Linked DNA regions of Elephas maximus indicus. The protein of the gene in region 1 interacts with the protein of each later gene in a biochemical or structural test. Links are inferred from orthologs where the notes say so. Each region holds a gene or a part of one and is shown on either strand. Other genes may lie near its edges.

Evidence for each region.
Region 2: the proteins of NPR2 (region 1) and NPPB form a complex in vitro, tested with the Homo sapiens proteins (3 studies listed by BioGRID). The link is inferred for Elephas maximus indicus from reciprocal best matches to the Homo sapiens genes NPR2 and NPPB.
Region 3: the proteins of NPR2 (region 1) and NPPC form a complex in vitro, tested with the Homo sapiens proteins (3 studies listed by BioGRID). The link is inferred for Elephas maximus indicus from reciprocal best matches to the Homo sapiens genes NPR2 and NPPC.

What each region holds. Positions count from the first base shown.
Region 1 is NC_064827.1:44,581,265-44,588,998, forward strand, and holds the start of NPR2 (atrial natriuretic peptide receptor 2), read left to right. Parts: upstream 1-4,730; 5' UTR 4,731-5,550; coding exon 5,551-6,217; intron 6,218-7,046; coding exon 7,047-7,252; intron 7,253-7,734. UniProt on the Homo sapiens protein: Receptor for the C-type natriuretic peptide NPPC/CNP hormone. Has guanylate cyclase activity upon binding of its ligand. May play a role in the regulation of skeletal growth.
Region 2 is NC_064821.1:51,724,959-51,731,167, reverse strand, and holds NPPB (natriuretic peptides B), read left to right. Parts: upstream 1-4,370; coding exon 4,371-4,493; intron 4,494-4,738; coding exon 4,739-4,849; intron 4,850-4,939; coding exon 4,940-5,078; intron 5,079-5,688; coding exon 5,689-5,705; downstream 5,706-6,209.
Region 3 is NC_064824.1:134,186,252-134,193,771, reverse strand, and holds the start of NPPC (C-type natriuretic peptide), read left to right. Parts: upstream 1-4,646; 5' UTR 4,647-4,723; coding exon 4,724-4,813; intron 4,814-5,228; coding exon 5,229-5,516; 3' UTR 5,517-5,536; intron 5,537-7,520.

The DNA.
Region 1 (7,734 bases):
TGCTATGAGTCACCTGATGGCACCCAACAACAACCCAACATAGTTTTGCCTTTCCCAGAGTGTCATATAGCTGGAATCATGCAATACGTAGCCTTTTCAGACTGGGTTCTTTTACTTAGCAATATGCATGTCTTTTTGTGGCTTGATAGCTCTCTTTTTGTTTTTTCATCACATATTTCAACCATATAGAGAGACCAATACAAAGAACACTTGTGTGTATTACCTGCTTTCCAATTTTGTCAAATTTTGCTCCAGATTTCTCCTCTTCCTTGTTTTTGGATCCCAAGTGGCATAGTGGTTAAGAGCTCAGCTGCTAACCAAAAGGTCAGCAGTTTGAATCCACCGGCCACTCCTTGGAAACCCTATGGGGCAGTTCTACTCTGTCCTGTAGGGTCACCATGAGTCGGAATCGACTTGACAGCAACGGGATTTCCCTGTTTTTGGCTTCTCTAGGAAATTCAAAGCAGAGCAGAAGATTAAAATAGTGATTAATACATTTCCATTCTATAGAAACTGTCATAATTATGTTTGTTTTTATGTGAGATATTGCTTGTTTTTATGTGAGATATTTGTAAATTTAGCAAAATTTGAAACGGTGAAGCGAACGCATACTACTTCGTCTCAGTGAAAGATTTTGTGAAGAAAGTGAGATTTTAAGTGGAGCAAGGAAGAAAATATTATATTTGACACTTTATGCTATCATATGCTCCAAGGGGTGGTAAGTGACCACTTGGATTGGTAATAATGGTGAAAGGTGGTAATCAGAACATAGGGAAGCAGCATATGTACCTACCTGGAAGACAGGCCAAGTGTGGGAGAGCAGAGGAGACACTGGGACCTGTCTGGACACTCAAGGAGGTGCAGGCCCAGGCCTGGATGGAACAGATGGGTGAAGTATGGGTTCGTCTGGAGCATGGATCATCATAAGACAAAGATGCATGGTTGCTTCTCCTGGCGATTTTTAAATTCCTCTCTTAGGTATCACTGGCTCTCTCTGAAGCACTTTCCATTGAAAAACGACTTCTATTTTCACAAAGCTGATATCTCTGGCCCTCAGAATATGGTACTAATTCATCTTTTAGAACACACACCTAGGCAGGTAAGTTGAAAGCTAGGACCTGATTTGAAAATATTTCAAATTTTAAAGCTTAACTTACAAAAGTTAAGTTAAAGCTTAACTACAAAAGAAAGCTATGAATGAATTAAAAGTAAAAACATTTGACCCTTCAAACAATAAGAGCAACTCTTTGAGGAGGCTTTCATATGAATGTTTATGAAGAGCACTGGACCCAAGGTCTAGAACCTACTGTGTCCTGCTGCATGGATTGTGAGGGCAGGAGAGAGGTGGAGGGGAGTAGGGTACCTGAGCAGTAATGGGTTGATTGATTTTCAAGATTCTCCCTCGCTGAGGCTAAAAAATAATGTAGAATTTTAATAAACTCTTTCTTTGCCTTCTATATGGTTCACTACCTTTCTTTTATTATACTGCCTCCCCTTCCCCCTTACTGAAATCCATCATTTGAAATGGATCTTTTCTGCCTTATTTTAGCTTACTTTTCATGGCTGTTCTCTGCCCTCTGTTGGCAGGTTCTCTTGGAAGGGTCTTGTGTGCAGGGGATAATTGCATGTAGTCAAAGTATTTTTCTGCAGGTCAGGCTGGTCAAGCAGAGCGAAGACTGAAAGGTGTTTTGTTTTTCTGGAATTCTACAGGCCAGGAGGGCATGCTCTGGTTTAGAGCAAACTTGAAAGTCCAGACTTAGCTGTGAAATCAGGTAAGTTATGAAACTGTTCAGCTCTGACCTGGGAGTCAGTTTAGGACATCAGGACCTACCATGGAGAAGATGAGCACGAGCCTGAACCACATGGTAGCTCCAGAACTCAGCTAAGGTCTTGATGCTCCATTGGCCTGAACATGACTAGGGCTTTGATTTCTTTTCACTAAGGAACAGGCTTGGTGCAATGGCTAAGCGCTCGGCTGTTAACCAAAAGGTTGGTGGTTCAAATCTACCCAGCTCTGTGGGGGAGAAAGACCGAGTAATCTGTTTCCGTAACGATGACAGACTAGAAAACCCTATGGGGCATTTCTACTCTGTCACATGGGGTCACTATGAGTCAGAATTGACTTGATAGCACCCAGCAACAACATAGCAGGAACAACAAGGAAACCATAGCAGCTTCTAGCAGCTAGCCATTAGATGCTCTGGAGTTTAAATCCGGACTAGTAATAAGGTGTTTCGGCTGGCCCTGTCCCAGGAGTCATTATACGGGGGATCTGCGGAGTAGTAAGAAGCCATATCAACCCTACAGAAAGGAAGTTGTACCCTAGCTGGGTGCTGCTCAGGCCAGAAAGATCTGTAGATGGGTTTATATGGGTTGCATGGGTTTCCATGGAGTCACCAAAAACAGTCAAAATCTTATTATCCATATGAATGACGGCAATAATATTTTGGATAACTGGAATATATAGACAAGGAAAGATCTCTTTTATCTAATATTTTCAGCCTTCCCCCAAAAGGGAAAAGAAAAACAAAAATCTTTCACTGGATGCTGATAAGAAACCACATTAAATAATTTAAGTTTCATCTCCCTGCCTGTTCCCACTTTCAAGTCTAAAGGGCCAGTTGGAAAGAAGACGGAGGGTGCAAGATGCTTGAAAGTTTAGTCCCAAAAATAATGCAGAATTTTCCTTAATATTCAGCATAACGACATATCATGAGCTTAAACTTGTCTGGGAGTCTGGGTAAGAGTGATGGCTGGTCTTCACTGGTGTCTATTAGTCAGCAGAATATCTGTGAAGAGCCCTGCCCTAGAGATCAGGAAACTGGATTCTAGTCTGCCATTAAAAACCATGTGGGGGTTAGGGGGTAGCTATGTGACTTCCCTCTTTGGGACTCACTTTTCAATTATCTTTAAATGATGGCATTGCATGATATATTTACAAGATTCCTCCTAGCCCTGACATTCCATAATTCTGGAAGAGGTGGTGACATTTTGACTCTGCTTCTCCCACAAAGCTGTGTGTAGTTGCTTAAAAAGTATGATTTGGTGTATATAAATTTATATGTGAGAGACTGACTTGATTTGTAAACTTTCACTTAAAGCACAATAAAAATTATTAAGAAAAAAAGTATGATTTGGTTGCCTGTCTAATGTTAGACCCATGTCTTTTCAAGGTGTTCTGTCACCCCTCTGTTCCATCCTTCTTTTCCTTGCCCAGGCAGGACAAAATTCCTTTTCACTGTGGCGGTATCACGAGTCTGGAACAAGAGTTACCATCTCTCCGTGTTAAAGGTGGAGCTGTCCTGAGGCTTCTGTTTCTACTGGGCTTGGAGCAAGAAACATCGTCAGGGGGCTTGCCTTTGGCCTCTGAGCCCTGGGAATTGCAACAGCGTGCTCCTAAAGGTAAGGACTTTATTCAGTTTTCTTTGTATTCACCCTTACAACGTGTGCAAGGCACCCCCCTGCTCAATAAATAAATAAATAAATACCTTGGGAGAATAAAATGGCATTGTCCTTCATTTCCACCCCAAAGCCACTAGGTGTCGCCTTCATCTCAGAGAAACTGCGCCCCTCCCTTCTCTCTACCTACACTCCCACCCTCCCCTCCTCTGCTCAGAAAGCTCTCTTAGTTTCTTGACACTGTGATTTCTGGAGGAGTGGATTGAAGGGGGTGATAAACTGTGGCTCTCCGCAGGGGGAGGAGAATGGGTTTATGTGCATCTCCTTTATGACAGTTTGAGGAAAACTCCCCAAGGTCCCATAACAGTTCCTCCCAGCAACCATGATATCATCCTTCACAAGCTGTTCCTCAGATCAGATAAGCACTCCAGAAACGGAGTACCTGGGGTGAGCTCTCTAGGTCAGAAGCTTAGGACAGGGGTGGAACCCAAAGGGGGTGCAGAGGGCTTCCGTTGCAGAGGGAATGCTGTGCTTAGTCAGGCTACAAGCATTTACCAGATGCTGGCTGTGCTGTGGAGGGAGACAAAGAAAGAAGACGCTGTTCCTGGGTGCTGCCCTGGAGCAGATGGTGTGGGGGAAGCCCAGTGGGCTCTGGTGGGCCTCTGAGGACATGGGGGAGGGCACAAGAGGGGACATGGAGACAGGAAGATGGAGATCGGAGGGTTAAGTCCCAGGGAAGGAGACTCAGGACTTAAGAACTCATGAAAAATCTGTCCTTGGAGGCCTGCTGCTTCTGGAGAGAAGCCTGTCTCCCAGTGAGGGGGCATGTCTTACTGAAGGGTGTGAGGTTCGTGATAATTAGAAGGGTGGAATAAGTTTATTAGGTGAAGGACTAGTGAGGATACCAAATATTTGAGAATTCCTGACTGCTTCCTGGAGACTGGAGAGTATGAGGGACTCAGGGGAGTTAAGAGAGGGGACCCTAAGAAGAGCAGGATAGGCAAGGGAGAGAAGAACGTGTGAGATGGCAAGAGGGCGGCGGGCTGGACCAGGGGCTTGGGGAGACAGGGGTAGGCCCCCCGAGTGAGGGGACACCCGGGAAGCACGCCGGCCTGAGAGCCCCTAGTGCAGAGCCCCGGATTTTCACTGGGGTGGCTTTGGGAAATGGGAGGTCCCTGGGTGCCGGGTAGGGGGTGAGAGGGAGACAGCAGGCGCCGGAGGGTGGGGCGGGGAGGGGAGGAGGAGGGGCCGTGGGGGAGGGGGCGGGGGAAGTGGCCGGGCGGGGGCGGGGGCAGGCGGCCTGCCCCGGGAGTCACACTCGGCCGCCGCCGCCGGCGCAGCGAGCGGGGACGGGCCCGGCCGAGGCGACCTGACCCGGACGAGCGGCGCGCACGGGGGCCCAGGCGGGGGGCGGGAGGAAGCGCCGGGCAGCGCCGGCCGCCGGGCCCAGGAGGAGCGGAGCAGAGGAGCTGGGACACGGGCGGAGCCGCCGCAGCTGCGGATGGGACCAGCGCCCAGGGCCCGTTAGTCCAAGCTGGAGCTTCGGGAGAAGCCTTCACGGGGAGATTTACCCCTGCATTCCCCTCCCTCCGGCCCAGGCCTCGCTTCGCTCCCCGCCAGCCCATGGTCCCTGTTCTTCTGCGGCGCGGGCACCCTCTCACCTTACCCCCTTGGTTCTGTTTCTCGCAGCTCTCTGCCCTCCTAGCCCCTTCAGCTGGGAGGTACCCCCAGGCCGGTTCTTTATATCGGCCTCCCCCCCCACCCCCACCCCATCCTAACCTCAGATCCCCTTTTCCTTCTCAGCTTGATTCATCAGGCTACTTCACCCCGCACTGCCCGCAACCCGCTCACAGGCCCCCTTGGTGCCTCCCTCCTCCTGCCACCCTACTCTTATGTACGTAGTCCTCAGCCTTGTCCTTAGCCCTTGCCCTAGGCTGCTAGATCCACTCCTTACCTACCCCTGAGGCTTCCACCCACCCTACCCTCCTCTCCCCAGTCCGCAGCACTTTCTGTGTCCCCGCCCACTTAGCTTATCCTTACTTCTCTTCCTAGCCCCCTTTCCCAGGTGCCAGGCTGGGTGGTGATTGTGCCTCCTCTGTAGGCCACAGCAGCCCCAGGTCCTGGGGGTGGTGGGGCTACTGTTGTATCCCCATGGCACTGCCATCACTCCTGCTGTTGGTAGCAGCCCTGGCAGGTGGGGTGCGTCCTCCCGGGGCTCGGAATCTGACGCTGGCAGTGGTGCTGCCAGAACACAACCTGAGCTATGCCTGGGCCTGGCCGCGAGTGGGTCCTGCTGTGGCACTAGCTGTGGAGGCACTGGGCCGAGCACTGCCCGTGGACCTGCGGTTTGTCAGCTCTGAACTAGATGGCGCCTGTTCTGAGTACCTGGCACCACTGCGTGCTGTGGACCTCAAGCTGTACCATGACCCTGACCTTCTGTTGGGCCCTGGTTGCGTGTACCCAGCTGCCTCTGTAGCCCGCTTTGCCTCCCACTGGCGCCTTCCCCTGCTGACTGCGGGTGCTGTGGCCTCTGGCTTTGCAGCTAAGAACGAGCATTATCGTACCCTGGTTCGCACGGGCCCCTCTGCGCCCAAGTTGGGTGAGTTTGTAGTGACATTGCATGGGCACTTCAATTGGACTGCCCGTGCTGCCTTGCTATATCTGGATGCTCGCACAGATGACCGACCTCACTACTTCACCATCGAGGGCGTCTTTGAGGCCCTGCAGGGCAGCAACCTCAGTGTGCAGCACCAGGTGTATGCCCGTGAGCCAGGGGGCCCTGAGCAGGCCATCCACTTCATCCGGGCCAACGGGCGCAGTGAGTGTGGCTCCGGGCTGTTTCAGGGTCAGGGGAGGAGGGTTGCTGTCACCCTGGAGCTCAGGACTAGGAAACTGCAGTTGAAAATAGGCGTTGAGGGGCTGTACCTGAGGGTTGGGATCAAGAAGCCTACGTGGGCACAGCACCTGTGAGAGGGCTAAGGCACTATGAGGAGAGCATGAAGACGTTGTGGCAGATGTAAAAAAGAAATGAGATGGCATGAGGAATGAAGCTTGTATCAGTGGAGAACATGGGATTTGGGGATTTTGTGTTCAGGAAGCAGTGGGAGTACCCTAGAGTTGTGAATGTGTTTGATGGCCACTCTGATATTTGTGCCTGTCTGTGAGCAGAGATTTCTCAAATTGGGGCACCGAGACCCTTTGGCAGCGTGAAAATAGTGAGGATTCCATAAATGGGCTTGGGGGCTGAGCAGATTTGGTTGGGAAACACAGGTAAAGCTCACACTGAGAGAAACTCTGAGCAATACCTTTGAGCCAAGGCAAAGGCAGAGGAGAGTAGGGGAGTGAGGAGGGCTGAGTGGTGAGTAGCAAGCAAGGCTCTGGGAAAAGGAGGGGCTTGAGGGTGATGGCTCTTTTCCTCTGGGGTCTGGAGTCAGGCTATGACATCTGCCAGATGGTCCATATGGCCTCAGGGTATGTATGACAGAGCCTCCAAGGGGGGAATGACAAGGGGAGCATCTGCTGGGAGGTTGATAGGTTAGGGCGTGCTCTTTCTTGCTAAGATGAAAATGAAGATGACTCAGAGAGGGGACTGTTTGAGGACCTGGATGCTTTCTCAGAGTGCTCCTCTGTCGTGTACCTGTACCCAGTTGTGTATATCTGCGGCCCTCTGGAAATGCTGCATGAGATCCTGCTTCAGGCCCAGAGGGAGAACCTGACCAATGGGGATTATGTCTTCTTTTACCTGGATGTCTTTGGGGAGAGTCTCCGTGCGGGCCCCACGCGCTCTACAGGCCGGCCCTGGCAGGACAACCGCACCCGGGAACAGGCCCAGGCTCTCAGAGAGGCCTTCCAGGTATCATTTGAGCCAAACCTGAAGGAGGAGGGGGAAGAGGTGCTACACTGGAGATTACCTCTCTTTGTCTCTCTCAAAATCCCACAGGAACCCCAGGAACAGGGCAGGAATTCTAAGCTACAGGAGTGAGATGAACAGAGGCTTTCCAAGTCTACTGTCATCCTTTCTTATGTCCCCACCTGAGTGATTCTCAGTGTGTCTGCCAAGACTGACTGATTACCTCCAAAGATCCTGGAGCACTGACTTTCCTAAGTGCCAGGAATAGGCTATATGGTGGGAGAGAACAGTTCAGGAAAAAATCAGTCCCAATCCCTGGGAAGCTTCCAATCTTTCTAGAGAGGCGAGACATGATTGTGGCACAGTTAGATACAAGTATGAGAAAAGATAGGATTATGTGTCCTGGAACAGATGCTAAGAACTTTATATTGCTCAGAGGAGGAAGAGTCTTTGTGGGTTGAGTTTAGGAAGGCTTTATAAAGGAA
Region 2 (6,209 bases), on another chromosome or scaffold:
TCCTCCAACACCCATCCCACCCAATTCTGCCCAGTCCGACCTCCAAGTACCTGCTGACTAAGAGGGAGAAGCAAGCAAGCAATCTTTTTTTTATTATTGAACTTTAGATGAAGGTTTACAGAACAAACTAGCTTCTCATCAAACAGTACACACATTGTTGTATGACATTGGTTAACAACCCCACCACATGTCAGCACTCTCCCCTCTCAGCCCTGGGCTCCCTATTACCAGCTGTCCTGTTCTCTCCTACCTTCCAGGCCCTGCCCCAGGCTGGTGCGCCCCTTTAGTCTTGTTTTGTGCCACCGGACTGTTTAATCTTTGGCTGAAGCATGAACCTCAGGAGTGGCTTCATTACTGAGCTGAAAGGGTGCCCAGGGGGCTACTCTCAGAGCTTCTCCAGTCTCTGTCATGCCAGCAAGTCTGGTCTTTCTTTTTGAATTAGAGTTTTTGTTCTACATTTTTCTCCAGCTCTGTCTGGGACCCTCTATTGTGATCCCTGTCAGAACAGTCAGTGATGGTAGCCCGGCATCATCTAGTTGTACTGGACTCAGTCTGGTGGAGGTCGTGGTAGATGTGGTCCATTAGTCCTTTGGACTAACCTTTCCCTTATGTCTTTAGTTTTCTTCATTCTTCCTTGCTCCCGAAGGGGTGATACCAGTGGAGTATCCTAGATGGCCGCTCACAGGCTTTTAAGACCCTAGACACTACACACCAAAGTAGAATGTAGAACATATTCTTTATAAACTCTGTAGCAAGCAGGCAATCTTGACCCTCACTCCACCACAGGTTGGCCAGTTTAGCAAATAGGAATACACGACATCTGGTTAAATTTGAATTTCAGGTAAACAACAGATACTCTTTTAGTATGAGTAAGCCCCAGCTGGAGCACAGAATTGGAGGTGCTGGTGTGCTCCTCACAGGTGTGCAGCAGGAAGTGTACAGGTACAGGAAGCCCCAGGACAGCAGCCCCCGGCAGATGCTTGTTAATGCCAGTCTAGGCAGAAGGAGAGGATGGGTTAAGTAGGGAACCCTAGAATGGGAAGGGCCAGGGGCCAAGCCTGTCCAGGGTCTGCTCCTACCTGCGAAGTCAGCTGCTGCCCCAGGATCAGCCTGTGTGGGCCACACAGCATCTCTCCAGGGACTCCTGTACCTGGCTTTTCTGTGTCCCTGGAACCCAAACTGGTCCTTTAGTTGGTGGGCCTGTGCCACCCAAATCAGGCTTAGCCTGGGCCAAGCCAGGTGGCCCGATCAGGCCTGTGGAGGTCAAGTGTAGCATCACTGTGGTCTTGCCCCCACCCCATAGGACACTGGGGGCAGACCCCAGCTCCCTGCTGAACTAGCAGCAACAGAGAATGATTGTCACATCTCATTTCCAGGTTGGTGGCTCTGAGCTGAGATGTGCCCTTAACCTTTCCTTCGCCAGGAAGGAGGTGAGTTGCCTGTGGGTTGAGCTACCACTGTCACCGCAACAGCCTTTACTGAGGGCTTACTATGTGCCAGGTACTATGCTCAGCATTTTACATAGACCGTATTAGTTTCCTATTGCTGCTGTAACAAGTTGCCACCAACTTAGTGGCTTAAAACAACACGAATTTATCTTACAGTTCTGATGACCCGAAGTTTGAAATCAGTTTCAATGGGCTAAAATCAAGGTGTTCCTTTTGGAGATGCTAGGAGAGAATCCATTTCCTTGCTATTTCTAGCTTCTAGATACCACCTGCAATCCTAGGCTGGTGGCCTCTTCCTTCATCTTCAAAACCAGCAGCGTGGCATCTTCTCTCCTCTCTGACCTCTGCTTCTATTCGTATGTCTTCTCTCAATGATTTTGATCCTTTTGCCTCCGTCTTATAAGGATCCTTGTGATTACATTGGGCCCAGCGAGATAATCCAGGATAACTCCCCATCTTGAGATTCTTAAGCACATTTGCAAAGTCCCTTTTACCATGTAAGGTTAACATAATCATAAATTCCAGGGATTAGGATTTGGACACCTTTGGGGGAATGTTACTGAGCCTGCCACATGTACCATCTAATTTAATCCTTGTACAGTAATGCTATGACATATGTGATATCATTACCCTCAATTAATAGAGCTGGAAAGTGTATGGCATACAGTAGGCACACTCAGTATTAAGTTCAGTGTCTTCTCTAAAATCTTCCACAATCCCCTTCACTGGGATGGCTCCTTCCTGGCCTGATGGGGCAGGTGGAGGCTCTGTCAGAGTGTTTAGCACTTAATTGTTTCCCCTGGAGTTACTCTGTCTTCTCAGCAATATCACAAATCCTTTGGTGTAGGGACCAACTCTCACACATATTTCTAATTATTTGGTTCTTTTCACACTGCCAAAGTCTTTTACAGACATCATTTTCTCACTTTTATTTATCTTCCAAGGATGCAGAGCACCATTATACCCAATTTGCAGAAGAGAAAAGTAAGGTTCAGGCTAGATAGTGTCAGTGCTTGAGAGGTGCTGGTTGGCTGCTGTCTTTCTCCCGACCCTTCCCTTCATGATGCCCAATGTGAGGGACCCTCTACACTCTTTGCAGTTCCCAGTCCTCTACTCAGCTCTTCACTTTGTTGGATTCTGTTGCCTCCCCTCTATTCTCAGTGAATCTTTGGATATTCCTCTTGTGGTATGCATGTGCACACACACACACACTGGCCCAGCCCCTAGAACCTCCTAACCCTTCCCCCTCTCCCATCCTCATCTGTAAAACACTCATCTTACCCACAGTTAACATCCTTCCCCTGCACACACAGCCACCAGACTCACCCCACCCCCTCTAGCACAGCTCCCTATACCTTCACAGATGACAATGAATTAATTTTTTTTCTAGTAGAAACCCTTTGCAGTCACCCTAGCAGTGATTAAGAGCTTCAGGTCTGGAATCAGACTGCCTGGATTGGAATCCGGGCTTCACCACTTGTCAATTGTGTGGCCTTAAGAAAGGTGATAAATTCCTCTGAGTTGTTTCTTCATCTGAAAAGTGGGAATATCAGTATTCTTTCCTACTTAACACTTGGCAACTGCTTTTTTTAGGCAAGAGTTGCTTAGGGGCCCAAGCTTCTTGCTGCCCTTCCCCCCATCTGTCATAACTTATCTTCCTTCCTGTACAGCCCTATACATTCACCCTGCTTCTTGTTAACATAAATTCTCTGGAAGGGTGTTGACATTAGTCATGCACACTTTAGGGGAGGTTTAAGCAGCTGTTTCTCTTCCCAGAGCCAATTTTTGGAGCCCTATTTCTGATTACAGGTGGCAAGTCCACCTGTGCTCCCATCTGCTAATGGGAATTAGGTAATGAATAATCATATGGAGGAGGAATTGGGGGGGACTCTCCATACACCTTGTCCCACCAAATAGATAACCATCCTTCCACCCATCACCTCTTTTTCCATCATGTGTCTTGGTTGGTGGAGGAGAGGAGGTGTTGGCAACTGGAGGACCAGCGATAGAAGGCATTCCTGGATGACTTCATCTCAGGGGCCTTGCCTCTCAAAATTCCAGCCGAATCAGCTCTACCCTTTAAGGGATAGAAGAAAGGTCAACATTCCAGAAGTTCCTTGTCATACCCAGGCATTTAATTAGATGATATTGGGGGGGTCAGCATCCCAGTGCTGTAAGGCTCGAGGGGAGTGGGAGTAAGACGGTGAGAAGGGGTCTTAGAGATCTCTTGCCCCTGCCCCGTGCAGGTCTTTCTGGGCGGGAAACCCCATGAGAACCAGACTTCATGAGTAGAGTTTGAGCAAAGTTCGAGGTCAGCACCACGGACAGCGGTCGGCGCTCCGGTACTCGCAGCCGGGCTGGGCGTAGGAACTCCGGCGAATTGCTGAGTTACAGGCGGGAGGGGAGGTGGGGGAGATGTCCGGTGTTTGGCGTTGTTCTCACTCTGAGTCACCGTGCTCCCCGCGCTAGCGTCGAACTTTAGGATGCTGGAGTTCTTCCTACCCTCTCCAGGAATGCTTGGGGGTGGAGAGCGGAGGAGATGGAGCCATGCCTTGGCCCTTGGATTTTTGCAGGAAAGAAAGAATCAGGAGAGACAAGGAACCTGTTGGTGTCCACCACGAGTTCCCGTCCGGGCCCTGCCCATTTCTGTACAAGGCCTGTCCTCCCCAGCCTCCACCCCCAGGGAGTACTAGTACCAGACCCTGAAGGGAGCATGCCTGGGCCCTGAGATCAGCGGGTCGGAATGCAGCTGATAAAGCACAGATAACCCAGGAGGGCAGGACAGACCCTGCTCCCAGCACGGGGATAAAAGGCTGTGGTTGCCCAGGAAGCCAGGAGAGCGCCTGTGGACCTCAACAGGTGGGACTGCAACCGGGGCTCTGAGCAGCCACAGCAGCAGTAACCCCCGCCTGGCTCTTCGACATGGACCAGACCGCGCTGACCCGGGCACTTCTGCTCCTCCTGTTCCTGCACCTGTCGCCTCCGGGAGGTCATTCCCACCCTCTAGGTGGCCCTGACCTGGACTTGGAACTGCCCGGGTTACAGGTGAGCACTGCGAAACTGTAGATACAGCCAGCTGGGAGAGTGTTCCTGTAGCAGCAAAGAACTGGTCCACACCTCTTGTTCCAAGGAATCCCCACCTTCCTGTGGGAGTTAGTGAAAAAGGAATCAGGAAGCAGTGAGACTGGGTGCTAGGACACCCTACCCAAGCAGTTGGTTCACATGTGCTCCATGGAGGGGGTGCTGAGGGAGTGGGGGTTACTGAGGCTCGGGCTCCCCACCCATCACAGAAGCTGTTGGACCATTTGCAGGACACGGTCTCTGAGGTGCAGACGGAGCCAGTGATCCTGGAGCCCGTCCAGCAGGGCCATAGCCCTGTCGAAGCCGGGGAGGCCCAGGAGGTCACGGTCTCTGAGGTGCAGACGGAGCCAGTGATCCTGGAGCCCCTCCAGCAGGGCCATGGCCCTGTCGAAGCCGGGGAGGCCCAGGAGGTATCCCCGATGGGTGTCCCCCAGCCTCAAATCCCTGAGGCCCAGGGGAGACTACCCAGCCCCAAGATGATGAGCGATTCTGGCTGCTTTGGGGGGAAGATGGACCGCATTGGCTTCCACAGCCGCCTGCGCTGCAATGGTGAGTCCCCAACTTAGCACTCAACAGGAATGCTGCACACCCACCCCATTCTTACACTGTCCACACTTCCATACACTTCTGGGTTTTTTGTTTCTGGGGGCCACCAAAAAACCCAAACCAAACCCGTTGCTGTAGAGTGGATTCTGACCCATAACAACCCTATGGGGGCCACAGTCTTTGCAAAAAGGGCACCTGGACACATCACTCCCTCTTGCTGAGACCTTAGGGTCAAGGGGTGCCTTTCTAGAAATATTAAATACGGGCACCATTCATTGCCATCCTCATGAGCCCCACCCACCTCTCATCATCTCTCTTACCAAAAGGGGCAGAATTAACTTAGAGTGGACCCCATTCATTGTCTGGCAGCCCCTATCTGGAAGGGCCCCAGATATCCTTTCTCCTGGTTTTCTCAGGGCTACTATTACACCCACTTTACAGATGAAGAAAATGAGGCCCACCCACAGAGATCAATTGTTCCAAGGCTTCAAACATCAAAATCAGCCAAGGGCTGGGGGTGGGTGGCAGGGACGGGACATGGTGAGGGGACACTCAGATCCTGCCTCAGTCTTCTAGCCTAAAGATATAATCACTCTCTCTCTTCTCCCCACAGTGCTGGGGAGCCCTTAAGAGGAAGTCCTGGCCTCAGGCATCTGCCTCTGATCCTCCAGCTGGTCTTTCCCCAACCCTGTGATCCCCTTCAATGACTCCTATTTATTTATCTTTATTTATTTGGTTATTTTACAAAGATGGTTTCTTACTTTTGAGCACACGATTTCCATGGAGAAATAAAGTCAACATTATAGTGTTATCTTTTGAAACTAATTTGTCTCTGGGCATTAAAAGAATAATTTCCAAAAAACAGAACAAAACCCTGTGTTTTCTTGAAGGCGTCTTGATGGTGAGGTGGGGACACTAGCCTTAAGGGCTGGTTAAGCTGGGTGGGAGGGTGTCTTTCTTTAAGGGTTTTTCACGCTCTGAAATGTCTACAAACATCTCAAGCACTTGAGACACTTGGCAGAAACTGCTTTTCAAAGCAGGGCCGTTTCTTCCTGGGAGAGAAATGGGCACGACAGATTCACACAACAGAGTCACACAAGTGAGGGTGTATGTCCGCAAGTCTGCCCCACTAGT
Region 3 (7,520 bases), on another chromosome or scaffold:
TCTCAGTGTTTGGGCTGCAGCTTCTGCCCCTCATTGGCCTGTTGACAGCCAGATGGGCAGCAGTTACTCCCCCCAGGAAACTGTACCTATCTGTCAAGGATTAGAAACCTTTCCCGTGTATTATTCTTCTTGAAAAGAAAAAAAAAAAAAAAAAAAAAAGGCGGGGTAAACTCTGACGTCATGGGCCTGCGTATATCAGCAGAGTTGGAGGCCGTCTGGAGCAGGTGCTGGGCAGGGCCCCTGGGAAAGGGGAAAAGGGCAGCTGGCTGATCAGGTGGGGGTGTTCTGGGGCCAGACGAAGACCTCCTGGCACGATGAGAGGTTAACCTATCCTGAAGTCCTGGCCTGGAAAAGATGGATGACTCTTTCTTGGCCTCTGGCTCCCCTCTTAAGGCCAGGCCCCAGAGGTGCAGGGCTTATGGGGGAGGCTGGCAGCTTGGGGAAGCCCCCCTCACCGATGGTCCCAGAGAGTCTGGGGGCTCCGGATCCTCCCGCCTGGTAATGCATGAATCCCCGCAGTAACATTCAAATCCCTCTTCTGCTCCAGCTGCTTCCTCCTGCCTTCGTCCAGGGCTGGGATCCCTCTCCCCGGGCCCCCTGACTCTCTCTGCCCTGACCAGAAGGCAAAGACCACCTTTTCCCAATTACAGGTGGTGAAACACAAGGCCCCGCTGAGGGACAGAACTTGGCCAGGGCTCTGCTGCGATTGCCCTGCTCACTGCCTGTTTAGTGTCCTCTCTAAGAAGTTGCACAGCTGGAAGGGGCCCCTGGGATGAAATACAGAGAAAACAGATGAGCGGCTGAGAACTTGCCATGCTTCGACCGGGCCAGAAGGGGGCGCTCCTTTGCAGGCGCTCACCAGGACTCCTGGGAGAGCGGGCAGGACAATCCTGACATAGCCCCCTTGCTGGGCCTCCCAGAAGCCCTGGGGAATAACTCCCTCACCGGAGGCGCCTGCATTAGGTCTCACATCAGGCTCGGCTAACTGCCTGGATGTCAAGTGTGCCAAGGAAGGGCCCCTGGGTGGCAAGGCCCTGCAAGAGGGGAAAGAGAGAGGAAGCAGCCCACAAGAATACGGTCTCTTCTTTCCACGTACCCCCACCTCTTCAGAGGCCAGGAGGGAGACGGGGTCCCAGCCATGAGGGCTCTGATACCTGGGGCTTGGCACACTTCAGTCTCTCTCTGACTTTCCCTACTGCCTGCTCCTTCTCTGCCCCCACCCACTCACCCCAACCCACCACTTTTCCTTTCATTCTCTCCATGCCCTCTCCCCCAACAGGCTTGTTGCCCACGCCCAACAGCACAAGGCTGCCACCCCTGGGAGACCACCCCCCCCACACCTCCCTATCACATCTCCTTCCTCCAAAATGCTGCAGACCACCTTAGGCTGGCCTCTCCCCATGCCCGGCTCCTTGGACACCTCTACCTGAGACCTTCTGCTGTTCCTACAACTGGCAAGCAGAGTGTGGCCACTTCCCTGGCCTTCTTGTTTCCCTCAGTTTCTCATGGTGGCCCTTTGGCGAGGCCTCTTATTGGACTTTTTCTTTGGGCACTTGTGGTGCCCCTCTAAGCCCCAGGTGCTGAGGGAGCCATGGCTGACCCACAGGGAGTCTGCTTTTCATCTGGGTCTTCTTCTGCTCCGCTCTTCTCTCAGGGCCTGCGGGCCATGTCTCCAGGCTCAGCCCGGCCTTACCCTTCTCCAGGAAGCCCACCGGCCACCCCAGGGTAGAGGCAGACCCACCTGGGGTGTCCACAGCCCTATGTCATTGTCCTTTTCATCTTACAAAGCAAGCGTCAGTTTCTGGGGGTTCTTCCTGCTGAAACCAGCTCTGGAGCACTGGACTTTCCTCATGGGTGCAGGCTGCAGGGACGAGGGTGTGGGCTGCAGGGACGAGGGTGTGGGCTGCAGGGAATCAGCAAGGTCACTGAGGCCCAACAGACTTTTTCCCTCCTTTACCAGCAGAAGGCGTTGTAACACTGAGCATTCAATAAAGTGTCCCAATGACCTATGCTCAGCTGCACAGTGGGTCCATCTCTTCCAGCCAGGCCTCTGTCATGATCCCATGAGGGAAAAGCAGCAAGAAAGGGCCTGAGCCTTTCTCTGCAGCTCACCCTTGAGAGGAACCCAAAATCCCCTTTGGGGGGCCCTGCAAGAGGGCAAATCCCAAAGGCGAAATCTTCAGTCTCCAAGTAAGTCATGTGCTGGTTACTTCCTTTCCTGGAAGTCCCTCTAGGTCACCCCACAGACTTCGCTGACCCACCCCACCTCCCAGGTCAGCTAAGCAGGAGCTGCTCCCCAACTGGCCCCCGGGGAGCCTCCCAGTTGCAGTTAACCCCTCCAGGGTGTGCTCTGCCCCAAATGGCCCCAGCCTACTGGTCAGAAGTGGGGGCTTGCCAGATGATTCCCCTCCCAAAAAGGGTGATAGAGTCCAGGGTGCTGGCTCTGCCCTCTCTGGGGTTGGGTGGGGGTTGGGTGTTCTAATCTAGACCCAAAGCTCAGAGAGGGAAGACCTAGACATCTGCTAGTTCCCCACCAAGTGCATCCAGGAAACAGAGGATATGAAGAACAACTAACAGACATTTAGGCAGAAGGAGGTGACCTCCTGTACTTAAGGGTGGGCTTGAGAGTGTGTGGCCACTGCCCCCCAACCCCCCATGCCAGACTGGTAGCTGTCTCAAGACTGAATGGCTGGGCTCTTTAAACCTGTATAAATAAAGCAAGTCTCCGAGAAGTTCCAATGGTGAGATTCCTCTCTGTCCAGGCGGCAGAGAAGAGGGAATTTCCACAGCACACCCCAAGCTCCCTCTCCTCCCCCCCTCATTTTGCTCCTTTTTCTCCTCAAATGATAGAGTCCTGCCACCCTGCAGGTGTTAAGGTGGAGAGGCAATCAGGGCAGGCTGCCTGGAAGTGGTGAGTCAACACCCCAGGGCCCACACAGGATGCCCTGCTGGTGTCAGGATCCTCCTGCAGGTCTGGGGACTCTGCTGCTTCAAACTCAGGCCCCAGGTGTATTTTATTTGCTCAACAAAGGGACCTAGGATCCAGGTGGTCTGGAGATTCCCACTCAGGGTGCAAGTGTGGGAAGGGGTGAGCCAAAGCAGGGGCTGAGGCCCAGACAACGGTACTGCTGCTTCCCTGGTTCCAGTTCTGGGCTGCAAGGCCAGCAAAAGCCACAGCAGGGCACCTGGTCTTCCAGGCCCCTCTTCACTCCAGCCTCCCTCCCTCCGGGGGTGCAGCTTCCTCTCGCTGAAAAAGCCTATCCTTGTTCCTGAGTCCCGTGGGGTGATCTTCACACCTGGGTACTGCCACCACATCCCCATAGCGACAACTGCATTTATTCTTCCTTCTCTAATCCGAATTCTGCTCGGAGGCAGCATGGGCATAGATAGATGAGCGCATCTCACCCAATTCTTGGGGTACCAGGATCCCCGCTTCTGCAGTCCGTCCCGAGAGACTGACTCCCTGGGGCCCGAGAAGCCTTACCCAAGGAGAGTGAGTCGTGAGCCGCACGGATGCGCGGCTGTGTCCCGACAGCCAGCCGTGACGGGGCCTCTCTATGGCCAAGAACGCAAAGGCTACAACCTGTTCGGTTCACGGAGGCCAGGCGCGGTTTGAGTCCGGGTGGAGCTCCCTGCCTAGCCTGTGAGGGAGCACAGGACACTGGAGTGGACATCCCCACGTTGCGGGTTCTCGAGTGGGCTCAGGCAGAGTTCGCCGCACCCTGGCCCAAGCAGATCAAACCCACCCCCACGGGTATGCGGCGGGGACGTTCTGTGCGGTGGCCAGAGTGAGCTTGGAGCCACAGCGGGGACACACACTGCGCCGCGCACACGCAAGAGGGCACCGTATCCCGGGCCTGCCTTTGCAGGCCCCTCTTCCTGTCTCCGCGTGCTCGCGCGCGCGCGCGCACACACACACACACACACACACGCCCACGCGCAAGGTTTGCGCTCTTCCTGCAGAAGACTGGCGCTCCCCCCTGCGGCCCGGGCAAAGCCCGCTCTCCCAGCGCCTCCTACCCGGATGTCTGGCCAGATCCTCCGCTGCTGCCCCTACCCTACAGCGTCGGTGCGGCAGGAGCGTCCCTGACTAGCAGGTGGAAGACGCAGCCGAAGTCCCTGCCAGCGCCCATCAGGTGCCCAGGGACGAGTTTGGCAACAAGGCAGGTCTGCGTGGATTTCGCGCTCCGCCAACTTTCTGACTGTGTGACTTTGGGCAAGTGACTTCATTCCTCGGAGCCTGTCCTTGCACCTGCAAGGAGGAAAACTGGTCCCTTCCAGGTGGAGCGCGGGGTGATGAGGCATGAGTGCAGGCGCAGGGCAGGGGCGCACCAGGTTGGGCACGCCAGGGCGCGCGCGCTGCAAATGGAGCTCCCTTTCGCGCGCCGCCTTGCAGCTCTGAGTGCTGCGGGAAGCGAGCCCGCCGAGCCTGTGGTCCCTCGGGGCTGGGATAAAGGTGGCGGCGGAGGGGGAGCATCCGCGGCCCCCTCCTGGCCCCAGGGCGGCCGCGTGCACCGTGCCATTGGCCGGGGCAGCCGGGTGGGCGGGCGGATGACATCAGCGGCAGGTTGGATTATAAAGGCGGGAGCGCAGCTGCGGACTCTGAGCGCACCCAGCCGGCGCCTCACAGCACTGAGACCCGCGCCCGCCCGCAGCCCAGCCCGCCTCTCCGCGCTCGCCCGCTCTCCTGCAGGCCTCACACGTCCTCGACCCAGCGGGCACCATGCACCTCTCCCAGCTGCTGGCCTGCGCCCTGCTGCTCACGCTGCTCTCGCTCCGGCCTTCCCAAGCCAAGCCCGGGGCGCCACCGAAGGTGAGTGCTGTCGCGGGGACCCCAGGCCTGCGCGGGGCAGGGGTCCCGGGAGGATGTGGCGCGCAGAGGGTAATAGAGGAGGCGGCCCTGTCCCCCGAGCTGTGCGCGATGAGAGCCGTAAGCCCTCGATGCCCGGACTCAGGATGGACTTCCCAGCTCCGGGAGACTTTGACAGAGGCGCAGCCCGGGACCCAGTGTGGCCAACGGGCGAAGGGCGAAGGAGGGAAGGGCAGGGGATCCCCGAAGGGTGGACAACCGTGGCCGCATGGCAGGTGGATGAGGGGCAGACCTGTCCGGCATCACAAGTGACAAACCGCGCTGGCGGATGCTTCTGGCCAGAGCATCACGGGCCCCGCAAAGGCCCCCGCGCAGCCACCGCGCTTCCCTGCACCTGCCTACTCTTTTCCTCCGACAGGCCCCACGCACCCCGCCGGGAGAGGAGGTGACCGAGACCCAGGCTTCAGGTGGCGGTCAGAAAAAGGGCGACAAAGCTCCCGGGGGCGCCAATCTCAAGGGTGACGGATCGCGACTGCTCCGGGACCTGCGCGTGGACACCAAGGCGCGGGCAGCGTGGTCTCCTCGCCTTATGCACGAGCACCCCAACGCGCGCAAATACAAAGGAGGCAACAAGAAGGGCTTGTCCAAGGGCTGCTTCGGCCTCAAACTGGACCGGATCGGCTCCAGGAGCGGCCTGGGATGTTAGTGCAGCGACCCCTGGCGGCGGTGAGTACGCCAGTCTGGCCGCCCTGCGCTCCAGACGCCCTGCGCCCGGGCACCGTCATACCCAGTCCTTATCCCCGCCCGCAGGCCCGGTCCCCTTTGATCCTAGGGCAGTCCTTGCAGACCCCTCCCCCGGTCACTAGCAAGCCTCTAGAGGGGAGCCAAGCCACCCGGCCTGAGTGTGGGCTTGGCACTGGGCAGTGCTCTCCCCTACCCCCAGCCCATTATTCCATTTTACAGATAAAGAAAGTGAGGGATAAAGTGGTCAGGGAAGTGTGGCAAAGTCAGTAATGACAGCCTGGCGGAGCTCACCTGGCTGCTTCTAGAGAGGCCGAGAGGTTTGATGGAGTGATATCCACCTCCACACCAGCAGCATCAGCCCCGGTTTGTCAGTTGAGGAGTGGAAGGAAGATCATGAGTTTGTGGGAACAGAAGAAAAGGGGATATACACAAACCAGGAGTAAGCCTGTCTGCCAGCCACTCTGTGGATGGTGCCCAGGGTAGCGGGCAGCCAAGTGGTCAGGGCTGCTTCTGGGTCAACTGGCCCTCAACCCCCCAACTGGCAAATTTATCTTCGTAAAGATTACAATGGGCAAGATGCGTGCCCCCTCACAGTAGGCAGAAGAACCCTCGTTGGCATTGACCAGGGAGCTCAGCTGGCTGGGACATTTTCATTCTTGTCCCATGTCTAAACCGTGACTGCTGGCAGACTAGCCTGTCCAGGGTCCTGATGCTGCTGCAGCCGCGGTGAATTCAGGTGAATCTCAGCATTCCTGACCCTATTTCAGGGCAAGGAAAGGAAAAGACTAAGATAAACCTTTACTTTTGTCCCAACCTCAAACTCACCATGTCCCACACTGAGTTCCAAGCCAACCCTGGCTCCCAATCACACTTCTAGCCTCCCTTTTTCCAGCACGGCCTCCTCACCTTCTGCCAGGCCTGGAAACCTCTGTGCTTCGTCAGCTGCTGCCAGGTGCTGCGTCCTGGCAATTGACTGCTACAAAGATACTTGCCCCCTCTCCTTCCCTCTTCTCCATTCCTGCCACCCATCAGCGTCCACTGAATAATGTCCCACCCTCTAGAGCTTCAGGACCAAACCCCTGTTGGTTTCCAGCCTTGTCTCTTGCTGCCATTTCCTGTCCCATGCTCAGGCCATGGGAGGCTGGTCCCTTCACACATAAAATTTTGTCCATGTCCATGTGGCTTCCCTCAGTGGAAAACAAAGAGCACCCTCTATCAGCCTCTCCGGCAAATTGCCTAGGCTTTTTTTTTAATAGAACCAAGGTCCCTGGGTGGCAAGCAGTTTGCACTCAACTACTAAAGATTGGTTGTTCGAACCCACCCAGCGGCACCATGGAAGAAAGGCCTGGCAATACTCTAAGGAGCAGCTGTACTCTAACAATGGGATCACCGTGAGCAGGGACCTAACTACAGAAAATAGTGCCCAAGACAATTAGTGTTAAATTGCTGAATGATCTCTCACAGCTGGCGAGGGAAACCGTGATGGCCGATAGAAACTGCTAACAGGTGCCCTGCCTCCAGCGGCGCCCAGGGCACACATGCAATACCCAGGGCACATGGCCTACCTAACCCCTCCCCCGACCCCAGTTAGGCCTTTGGCCATGAGTCAGAATCAATTTGATGCAATAGATTTGGTTTGTCTTTGTTTTTTATAGCACAGGACACTTTTTCACTGTAGGTGTAGTTGTTTCTGAACCTACTCACTTCCCCACACTGACTTGTGAGTAGCCTGGGAGCTAGAAGCTAGCCTAAGACAATTGAGGCCCCACAGCACCCCCCAAAATGACCGGAGAAACCTGCCGCCCTCAGCTTTCAGGTGCTCCTCTCCACCTGCCCTAGATTTCAGCTTGTTCCCTTCCTTTTTTCCTGGCCCAGCTGTGTGCTTCTCCCCCATCCTGCAGGGTCTTCTGCCATCTGTGACCTGGACTTGGGCCTTGCACAGGAAGCAGAATGGTTCGGGCACTCA